Linked DNA regions of Arabidopsis thaliana. The protein of the gene in region 2 interacts with the protein of the main gene of each other region in a pairwise test. Each region holds a gene or a part of one and is shown on either strand. Other genes may lie near its edges.

The links.
Region 1: the proteins of SCL14 (region 2) and TGA6 interact in binary tests that used the Arabidopsis thaliana proteins (3 or more experiments, as listed by UniProt).

What each region holds. Positions count from the first base shown.
Region 1 is NC_003074.8:3,904,628-3,909,286, reverse strand, and holds TGA6 (TGACG motif-binding factor 6), read right to left. Parts: upstream 2,937-4,659; coding exon 2,871-2,936; exon of another isoform or gene 2,837-2,870; coding exon 2,762-2,836; exon of another isoform or gene 2,715-2,761; coding exon of another isoform or gene 2,667-2,714; coding exon 2,595-2,666; intron 2,504-2,594; coding exon 2,444-2,503; intron 2,320-2,443; coding exon 2,242-2,319; intron 1,909-2,241; coding exon 1,857-1,908; exon of another isoform or gene 1,608-1,856; intron 1,568-1,607; coding exon 1,296-1,567; exon of another isoform or gene 1,222-1,295; coding exon 976-1,221; intron 851-975; coding exon 704-850; downstream 1-703. Other genes in the region: AT3G12260 (LYR family of Fe/S cluster biogenesis protein), read left to right, coding at 1-35; SCPL15 (serine carboxypeptidase-like 15), read left to right, coding at 4,369-4,502, 4,591-4,659.
Region 2 is NC_003070.9:2,313,052-2,318,601, forward strand, and holds SCL14 (SCARECROW-like 14), read right to left. Parts: upstream 3,457-5,550; 5' UTR 3,258-3,456; intron 3,157-3,257; 5' UTR 3,087-3,156; coding exon 777-3,086; 3' UTR 530-776; downstream 1-529. Other genes in the region: TRFL2 (TRF-like 2), read right to left, coding at 5,382-5,550. UniProt on the Arabidopsis thaliana protein: Probable transcription factor involved in plant development.

The DNA.
Region 1 (4,659 bases), on a different chromosome or scaffold from region 2:
TTCTCAAGAATTTCTACACCAGCAACTACTTTTGAACTGGTGATGTTTACTTTTCGAGTTTCACATAAGCTGTACTGTTTATGCTGCTTCAGTTCTTGCTCAAGTTTGCATATGTCTTGCCAGTATTGTATTCTCGACATTTGGAAGAAGTCTTCTTCCTGGAAATAATTAGATCTTTTCATTTGTATGAGTATTTTCTCTGACTCAGGTTGGTTATACATAGTATTAGCCAAACCTCTGTAAGCTTTATGTGTGACAGTGTTTACTGGGCAATCTTGCTATGATTTCAAGATACACAATCTGCTCTCTTTTTTGAACTCTCAATATAAATTGATTTGGTCTGCTGGAGTTTATGATCATACAATCCAAGTTCCTGAAAGGATCCCATCTTCTGTCATGTTGGTAATTGCGACCTTACACTGATCACCTATCCGCTTTGAATATTCAAAGACCTATAAACATTCACTCTATAAAACTATGCAACCTGATGGCTAAAAATTACAACACACACAACACTCGAGTCTTGCGGACCTCAGGAAACCAATTTCAAAACCTGCAGTCTTCTTTCCCAAAATATTGCTTTTGGTAAGAATCTGAGAATGCCTTGCTTTGTGATCGATCTCTTGGAAGGAGTATCCCTGCCGATCTGAGTCATAAGATTATGTATAGGGCTGACTGCTGAGTAGAGCACTATTCTTCTGTTTCACTCTCTTGGCCGGGCAAGCCACAAGGAACTAAGAGCACGTAATCGAGATGAATAATCGTGTATAGCAAGAAGAGCACGAGCTGACTGACGTGTTGTTAATACTCGAAGCATCTGTTGTAGTGTTTGCAGCCTCAAGTTATCAGCCTGCCACCAAGAAATGCCCTATGAACTCCATAACAGACGGATTCATATATAAAATAAAATATTTATCTCTTTGTGACGATGAAAAGATATGGTATATCTCGATAACATCCACATTTCTAAAGTACCTGGCGTATGAATCCTTCGAGGGTGCCTAACTGCCCCATTGCCATGGCCATCTGACCCATGTAGCTCGCGACATTATCCGATGAACTGGAACCAAGAGTTCCACTGGATAAAGTATCAGCTAGGGATTGCTGTAAACTCTCCATCCCTTGAGATAAAGCATCTTCTGCCTGCTGCGACGTCTGCTGCAAGCTATTGATGCCCATTACCTGTCGTTCTGTCATGGGCTCTAGCTGATTCGCAAGAAGCTGTTGTGAAAACACTGCGACTCATTAAGTTGGCTGTTCATCAAAATCTCTCTATGGACTTGGAAAGAGCTTACCTTGAGAAGTTCGGATGAGCGGAACCCGCCAAGCCACAAGAAACATCGCTCAGCTGGTGTTTTCCACATTCCAGATAACAAGTGGAAGACATCATTCTTAGCTGCATTGCTCTTAATCCTGAAAAGCTCCTCATAGTGAGCCATCACTCCATCCACAATTATCCGGAGCTCAGTATCACCTGCATGAGCATTCAGGGCAGATCTCAGCTCGTTCATTTGCCTGTTCTTTTCTTCAAGCCATCGTGAGTGTTCTGCATCAAATGCCAAAGCCCCTGCAGAAAGGCAAGTATACTAGATCAAGAACAAACCCTTGCAGACCTAAGCTAACACCAGCGCAAACTATAAGAAACTTCAGTTTTGACATCACCATGACTTTAATTTCCCATCCAGATCATCACTGACTCTTGAAACCATTAACTCTAACAAGTGTAAGCATATTGCCATGAGATGACTTATGCTATCACCAATTCATCAACATATATGTATATATGCACTTATCTCACATAGAAATTTCAAATCAAAAGGATCAATCTCAAAACTAACAGAGAAGAAACAACCCACCATTGCCACCAGTAGAATGAGCTTGGTCTCCTGAACTTGAGATGAAAACTCCCTAAAATTGAAAAATATATATCCTTAAGTGACAAATACACTGTCATGAGTCATGACAAAGAATCTGATAAGAACCAGAATAGAAATTCTCTGTATGCCATCAACATCCGAATAAACAGACCAGAAGGACCTATTTCGAGAGAGTTACCAGCTACTTTTACCCAACTAAACTATGGATGACCCATAATTCTGTTACCTCCTCTACTTCAGCTAACCCAAGACTAGTACTAACTCGTAACTGACTGTTAGTTATAAGTTGAAGTAGCTTCAGCCTTTTATCTTCTTTATAAAGACATACATATCAGAATCAAAACAAATAAGAAAGTTAATAAACCTGCTGTCTTGCTCTTTGCAGCTCCTGCTCAAGTTGAGTCAGCTTTAATCGACTATTCTCCAGCTGCTGAACATACGCCTATGGAGGAAACAATAACATGCTTAAGGTAATGACAGATAGATATTCTTCTAGAGATATTACAAGGAAATAAGAGGAATATATAAGAAAAATCAAAACAAGAACAAAAGCAAAATATACATACCTTCTTCCTCAATCTGCTTTTTCTTGCTGCCTCACGATTTTGAGCAAGCCTACGAAGGGTCTATGGATCAAAACGAAAAGGAAACAAAACAGATTATGCATATGCGTAATATACACAGATGCTAGTTGATCCACAGAGATGAATCTATCACCTTTTGATCCAACTTATCCTTTGATCGATCACTGGAATCAGAGGCAGCAGCATGCATATGCCCTCTATCAGACTGCATGTAATCAACATCAGGAATTACTGTTTCATTCAAACTATGCATGTTTGATGAACATAAGCAAATGACTAGTCCTGTGGATTTGGCTATACCGGTAGAATGCCCCAAGTTTTACCAAGGGATTCCGGTACAAGCCTCCCAGGAGTGACATTGTAGAGATAATAAAACTATAAAATGATTAGAGCCAGATTACGAGCTAACCCCCAGATCTCTATGATCTGTGTCACCATCAGTTGAGACATCAGTCCTTGAACTGGTATCAGCCATACTAGTTTCTGTACTAATACTTGAGCAAACACTATCCACTTGTGCTCCCTTTTGCAATGATAACCTTTCACCTCTGGTGCAGAGTTTCACACTAGAGGGAGGAAAAGCTGCCAAGAGGAAAGAGAAAAGATGATTATGAAAGAAATTAACAGATAGCAGAGAGAGAGAACTGCATCAGTTTGGAATTTGGGCACACTCACAAGTATCAAGTTATTGGCTCACGGAAACCAGCTTAAGTCACACTGCAAGACAACGGTTCAAGTACTAACATGGACTGAAACAAAACAGCGGATTCAAAATCTAACACAAGCGAGAACTAAGCTTATAACACAAGCGAGAACTAAGCTTATAGCAGCTGATCACTCAAACCAATAACTCATCACCAAGGATTCAAAATCTATGACTCTTAACAGAATTCAACAGACACATGAAATTCAAAGCATACTAACATTTGAAATCCATAAGGATTCATCAAGATAATTCGATGGAATTTGGTTGCTGAAAACGTCATCAAATGAACAAAAAAAACTTGAAACTTTATAAGCTTCTGAAAGTCAACTAAGTCTTAATTTCCAAAGGCAAATCACAAAGTGAGAAAAAGTAAGCTTTCCAATGACTAAAGTAAAACAAAGAAGGAGGAAACTTCAAACAAAAGAAAAAGAAAAGAAAAAGGAAAGAAACAAAACCCAAAAAACAAAAGAGCTTGAGTTGCAGAAAGCAAGAAGCTCACCTGAAAAAAACTGAAATCTCCTGTCTGAGTAAAAGGTTGTCCGAAATCGGATTGAAAGAAGAAGAAGCAGCAGAGACACGATCCGTAATTACAATCTCTGAGACGTCGATTTGTCTACAAACCCACCATCCCAAAAAGAAACATCGACAAATTTAACGGGAATTTGCAAACTAACCCCCCATACTATTCTTGTTACCCCTAACGAACTCTATAGTCTTAGCTTTACAAATATTACCCCATACAAATTTATTGAACCGGTTCAAACTGTCAACCGGTCCGGTTTTCTAGGCAATGCTGAAATCATTAAACAATAATTTGTCCTATGTCATGTGCAATAAAATAACCTGCAAAGCATTTTACATGGGACTTTGTCCCTTCTGGCCTTCCACGTACATTCTCACGTCAAGTGCCCAAGTGTTTTCAGCTCAAACCCTCAATTTCAATTCGTTAACCAGTTGGCAGTTGGTAATTGAAGGAGAAAACAAACTCTAAACACCTTTACATCCAAAGGAAAACTAAACAGATTAATTGGAACTGGTTAGAGAGACTAACCCGAATTGTCTCGGGTATAGATATTGCAATTGACCGGTTTATAGAACCATACTCAACCGAAAAGATTCCATCTTTGTTTTGGGTCAACGCCTCTGCTTTTGAGTTTTGAGTATATATAAAAAATGTTAAAACTCAAAAACTAAAACAAGAATGGCTTCCTGGATATTCAAGTTGCTGCTGCTGCTGCAATGTGTGCTTGTGTTGATTCAACATGCTGATTCAAGTTCTATCATCAGATATCTTCCTGGTTTTGAAGGCCCTCTTCCATTCGAGCTCGAAACCGGGTTCTTTTCCTCTGCATTTTCATTTCCATATTACCCCTATAATGTATGTATGACGCTGTGTTCTGAGTTTTAGAGTTACATAATGAAGGTATATTGGTGTTGGTCAAAAAGAGGAAGATCAACTGTTCTACTACTTCATCAAATCTGAGAACAATCC
Region 2 (5,550 bases):
CAGCGACAATAAATAAACACAAGAAAGTGAAAAGGACCCCTCCAGATCTGATCCCACAATGCCATTCTGACATATATTGTGAGATTCTCACCACGTATTATTGTACTAGTACATGAAGAAATACTTTTATGTCAGAAAAACTCGAAATTGAGTGGGTGTCACGTTTTTGAGTAACTATATTTTTCTGTCTCCAAATAAATATTCAACTCTTTCGGCGTTATAAACAAATCCTGGATATAATAGTTAGGAAAGTTTATTGGATGGATTATTTGTTTGATTTTGAAATTATTGTTTGTTGTTTGTTGTTTGTTGTTCAATCAATAATTGTAAGACTTTAGTTAAAATGATGTAATACTTCTGATTAGTACTAGTAGGCTTTCATAGGGGTTTTCACTTTCCAGGTTTTAAAGTTTTCATTATTATTTCTGATTATGTCGTCCTAGTACATGATTATCTACTTTTCGGTGTGTTTTGTAGTACGAGATGACGAGATGTCACACTCTGCAATAGAACTGTATAAACAAGACACTGAAAAAAATGTAACTTTTCATTATTTATGCAACAAAAGATTACATGAACATATAGCAAAAGATCATGCAATGAGTACTATATCTCTTAGGCTACACTCTTACACACGCTATGTCACAAGCATAATATAACAACATTCTAGTGTTCAAGAACCCTAACTCTGAACTTAATCCACTCGTGTTGGCGAGAGACTATCAACAGAAAAGCCCTACATAAATCCCAGTCGCTTAGAACGTAAGAAACAACATCTATGAAGACGAAGGAACCCATAGAGATGAAGCATACACGATTCTACCTTTCCACCCTTGAAGTAACCAGTTACCGTTTTGATCAACATCGAAGTTTTTATCGTACCCGTTTTCGATTTTCAACTTCAGATTCTGCATCAGTTCCTTCTCAAGCGGAAGCTGTCTAAATCCGGCTCGGATCAGTCTCGCCTGCCACTGCTTATATGTCTCTGGTCTCTCCACTCTCTCTGTTCCTTCACAAGCCACAACATTCACAATCTCTCTCCCATAAAACTCTTTCTCATACATCAGCCTCATCTCGTCTTCCCTAGCTAGCTTCGAGTCACACATATCAAACACAGCCGAGTAATGAAACAACGCTTCTCTGAACCTCGTGACAAAGAATGGCGCGTTGTAATTCCCGCTTAAGATCGCTGGAATGAAGACATTCGGGTTTATTTTTCTTATCAGCTTCAAAACTGCATCTCTCGGGCTGTTTACCAGAACGGTCTCATCTAGAAGGTTCCTGAAACGGAACAAAGAGTTCACAACCACATACTCTCCTTGTCGAAGCTTTAAGTCTTCGACTTGGATCGTTTCCCATTTCTGAGCAATTGCGTTGTACTCAAACGGAACATTGTGTCGCTGACAGTATCGAGCCAAGCGATGACCTGTCTCCTGAACTCCTTCCGCTGGTCTAAAACCGCGCTGAGGAAGCTCTATACCGGTAATTCGAAGCTTAGGCGAACCACCAGGTCTGCTGAGCGAGAGGCGATGAATCAGAGCAGGCCACTGAAAACCGTAAGATATTCCGAAATCTATTATGTGGATCGTGTTGGCGTTTGCAGTGAAACGCATCATGCTGTGGTTAGCAAATATGATAGCAGCTTTCTTGAAAGGGCAGACCGACATGTATGTCTGGTAAGCCTTCAACATGTCTGCTGCAGACGTTTTCTTCGAAGATAAAGCGGTGTAGATCTGTGTACCGGTCCCAGCTAAGCGTGCTTCAAGACTATTTGCAAAATAATGAGCCAACCGCTCTGAACCATTGCCTAGAGGCGAAGAATGCTCTCGTATCTGCCTTAGCATTTCGTTGGCGGTTCTACGATCATCCACTGATACAGCTTGTGCACATAACACCAAAAGAGTCCTCAAATCAGCAGTTTCTTTCTTAGAATCGTTACTATGACTAGTAGAAGTTGATTTCTTCCCACGAATCTTTGCTCCATTTGACTGTGCGGTCACGACTTTAGCGGATTCTGTAGGAAAGTTCTGGTTAAGAATGCATACAGGTTTCCCAGGGCCACATACCAAGATCTTATCAAACATTTCAGAAAGCTCGCTTTCCTCAACATAAACAGCTGATTGCTTGTTACTTCTTTCTTCAACGAAATCTTCATCTTCGTCGCGCCAATGGCTTTTCTTACCAGTTAATCTGTTGGGAGGAGGAGCATAGCTATGATGATGATGATGCTCTGTCTCATCTTTCTTCTCCGTCTTAACAAAAACCTCAGAACCATTTTCCTTGGAACCAGAATTCATAGGGATGTAACTATCCACATCAATAAAGAGCTGAGAAGACTTAGGAAGGAACTTACTAGCTTCCTCAACCCCTTTCTTGAACTGCATAGCCAATTCATCATCTTTAAACATATTCGAAACCAAATCATCGCCAAAACCTGAACCGTAAACCGCACTATTACCACCACCACCACCACCGGTGACACTGTTGGACCTAGAAGTAGACTGGAAAACAAAATTACTCGGCATAGGTGTATGTAACCAAGAAGGTCTATTCTCCAAACCATCAACACTCCAGTGAGAATCAGAGGAAGTAGTGGTAGTGGTGCTAGCGTAATCACTAAAAGCACCACCTGAACAAGAACCGTCAGGGCTATCACTAGCCAATCTCTCAGGATGATCCACAGAAGAAGCAGAAGACGAAGAAGGGTATTTCTCACCAAGAGCCTCATAGAGAGATTTCTCAGCAGCTTGAAGAGCCAAAGCGTCATGAAACATACAAGGCTTCTCTTCCATATCCTCTTCCATAAGAACTTGGCTTATATACTTCAAAACAGAATCAGAGAAATCAGCGTCATCAGATGAAGATGATAACAGATCTCCTGCTACAGCTTTGTTGTTGATGTTGTTGTTGTTGTTGTTCTGGGAGGGATATGCCTCTGGAGGATCCAAGGATGAGAAATCTAAGTCATCTAAATAGAACCCATTAGCTAAACCTAAGGTTTGGTTTGAGGAGGGAGGCAAATCAAAGTCCTTATTGAAATCCAACTCGTCCATGGATCCAGGGAATCCATCCGGATAAGAACCCATGTGGATCCAACTCCAAAAACCCAAAAATCCAGAGTCGTTAATATCTAATAAAGGTCGAATCTTTATTCTCCTGATCAATCACCAAAACCAAAAAAGCAGAGCACTGAAGAAGATGAGAAGAGAAGAGAGTAAAAATTACAAAGCAGGGAGATTTCAGAGAAGAAAGCGTACCTCTTTGTGGATTCGGCAACAAGATGACAAAGAAGAACCTTGAGTAAGAGGGAAAAAGGGTCTGTGTTACTGTGTACGCGGTGAAGAGAGAGAGAGAGACTAGAAAGAAGATGATGAAGCAGATGAAAGATAAGAACTAATTAATTGTTTTTACTCTCTCTACAGAGATAATATAAAAGAATATGCCCTTGTCTCTTTTCTTTTCTTTTAAATTTCACTCAGAAATATAAGTCGATCAGGCAACTTCTTGGGTCTATCTGTTGTCTGAAAAGAATCTTTCCGAATCAAGACAAGTTTCAATTTTCACTGTTTATTGTTTACTTTTACTAGAAACTGATATTTATTTGGAAATTTATCAATTTCTTTAGTTTTAATTTTATTTCAGATATTAATTTTATTATTTAATTAGTTTAGTGAATACGAATTATAATGTAAAGGATGTTAAGGCGATGAGATTTTATGATTCTTTTCTTTCCAAAACAGCATTATTTTTGTGTGGTGAGACCAATCTAGAAAGTACACGAATGAAACAATGTTACTTTCATAGAAAGATAACGTACTATATGATTACTGATTAGTGATTACATTTTATTTTATTTTTGACAGCAGTGATTACTGATTAGTGATTACATTTTATTTTATTTTTGACAGCAGTGATTACTGATTAGTGACTACATAAAATAGATTTATTGAACAATTTTTTGGCAAGAAAAGAAATAGATATACAAGTCACTCTATGGATACCATACCACCAAAAAAATCAATCTCAATATCGTAAGAATTTTAAGGAATATGCACAAGATGGCCTGAGATTCAAAAAGTTACTGTGTATTATGTTTTGATAATCGTTATACAAGTCACACTTTATTATTTCATAGTCATTTTACTTTTCTTCCCATATCTTATATTTCAACATTCCTGGCTGCTCACTAGTTTTTCGTTGACCCGACTAAGATAATAATTCCAATTATAAAATTTGTTATCTCCTTTTTAAAAATCATCTTAACCTTAATATATGCGGGAGAGATGGTTTGGACTTTGGAGAGACCAAAAAAAACTTGGAAGAAAATATTCATGGCCAAGAACAACGAGGATAAATTCCGAAGAGAATACATAACGAAGCCAGTAAGGTCCGTCTCTTGCGATATATGATTGATGTCGGCCTTCCTTAGTGACACTGCTAGCGCAACTGTGTTGTTGCTTTCGGTCCACAAATGGTATCCCAATCTTGAAATTTACTTAAAAACATATAATAATATTCTAGTGTTGGCTAATAATTGAACAATTTCAACAACAAAGATTATGACAATACTAGGAACTAGCAAATGACAATTTTTAAAATACTGCACTTTTAAAGCAAAATAAGACAAAAGAAAAAATTGAGAGATCAGACGATGTGCTAAGCTTGGAAGTTTGGAACAAGACAATTTCGCTGTAGCAATATCATGAATTTCTTACATTAATTGCACCTTACTTTCGCTTCCCACTAAAAGATTGGACTAATCGTAGCTTCATGAACACATCCATTTTTTTTACTTTCGTAGCCACATAGCAAACGATGCTAGCAAAAAAGTTTACTCATCGATAGGTGTCGACTTTTGAGAAAGATATGAAATAATGAAAATGACAACTTCATTTATTTCTCTCGGTTGATCTATGAGATCCTAAAGTATCTCCCATCTTATTCTCTTTTCTTCTGTAAGTGTCCAAAAAAGTCTGTTTAGCCATTGAAAAAAGTCGCATAGCTATTACCACAAAAAGCCAAAGTGAATAATTATTGGTACGTATGTTATGTTTCCTTTTCTCCTTATCAACTCTACCTTTTCTTGTCAAGGAATCTTATCAGGATCTCAATTTTGCAAGGCACCAAAAGGAAGAAACCTCTTATTACAACCAAGCACTGTGACAATTACATAGGACTTCACATATCTTCATCTATATATCTTCTTCTTCTTCTTCTTCTTTACCACACAATCCATTCCTTTTTTTTTACATTGAATCTTCTCAAATACATGCATAAAACAGATAAACAAACAAACAAAAAAGTATATATGAACGAATAAATTCCAGGTTTATCCTGCTAACGTCCATTATCACGTTGCGAAGATAATATTTAATCCCGGCCTATAGACCAAGACTGGTCTCGAGCTGCTGGGGTCCCTCTAGTAACTGGTGTTTCCCCTGTTGCTGGGACCAGTAGGCATGAGCCGTTAGTACCCGGTCTAAGAGCTCCTGTGGAACTGGCTCACCTCTCCTTTGTTGCGGTGATATTCTTGCTGTGTGCACCAGCGTC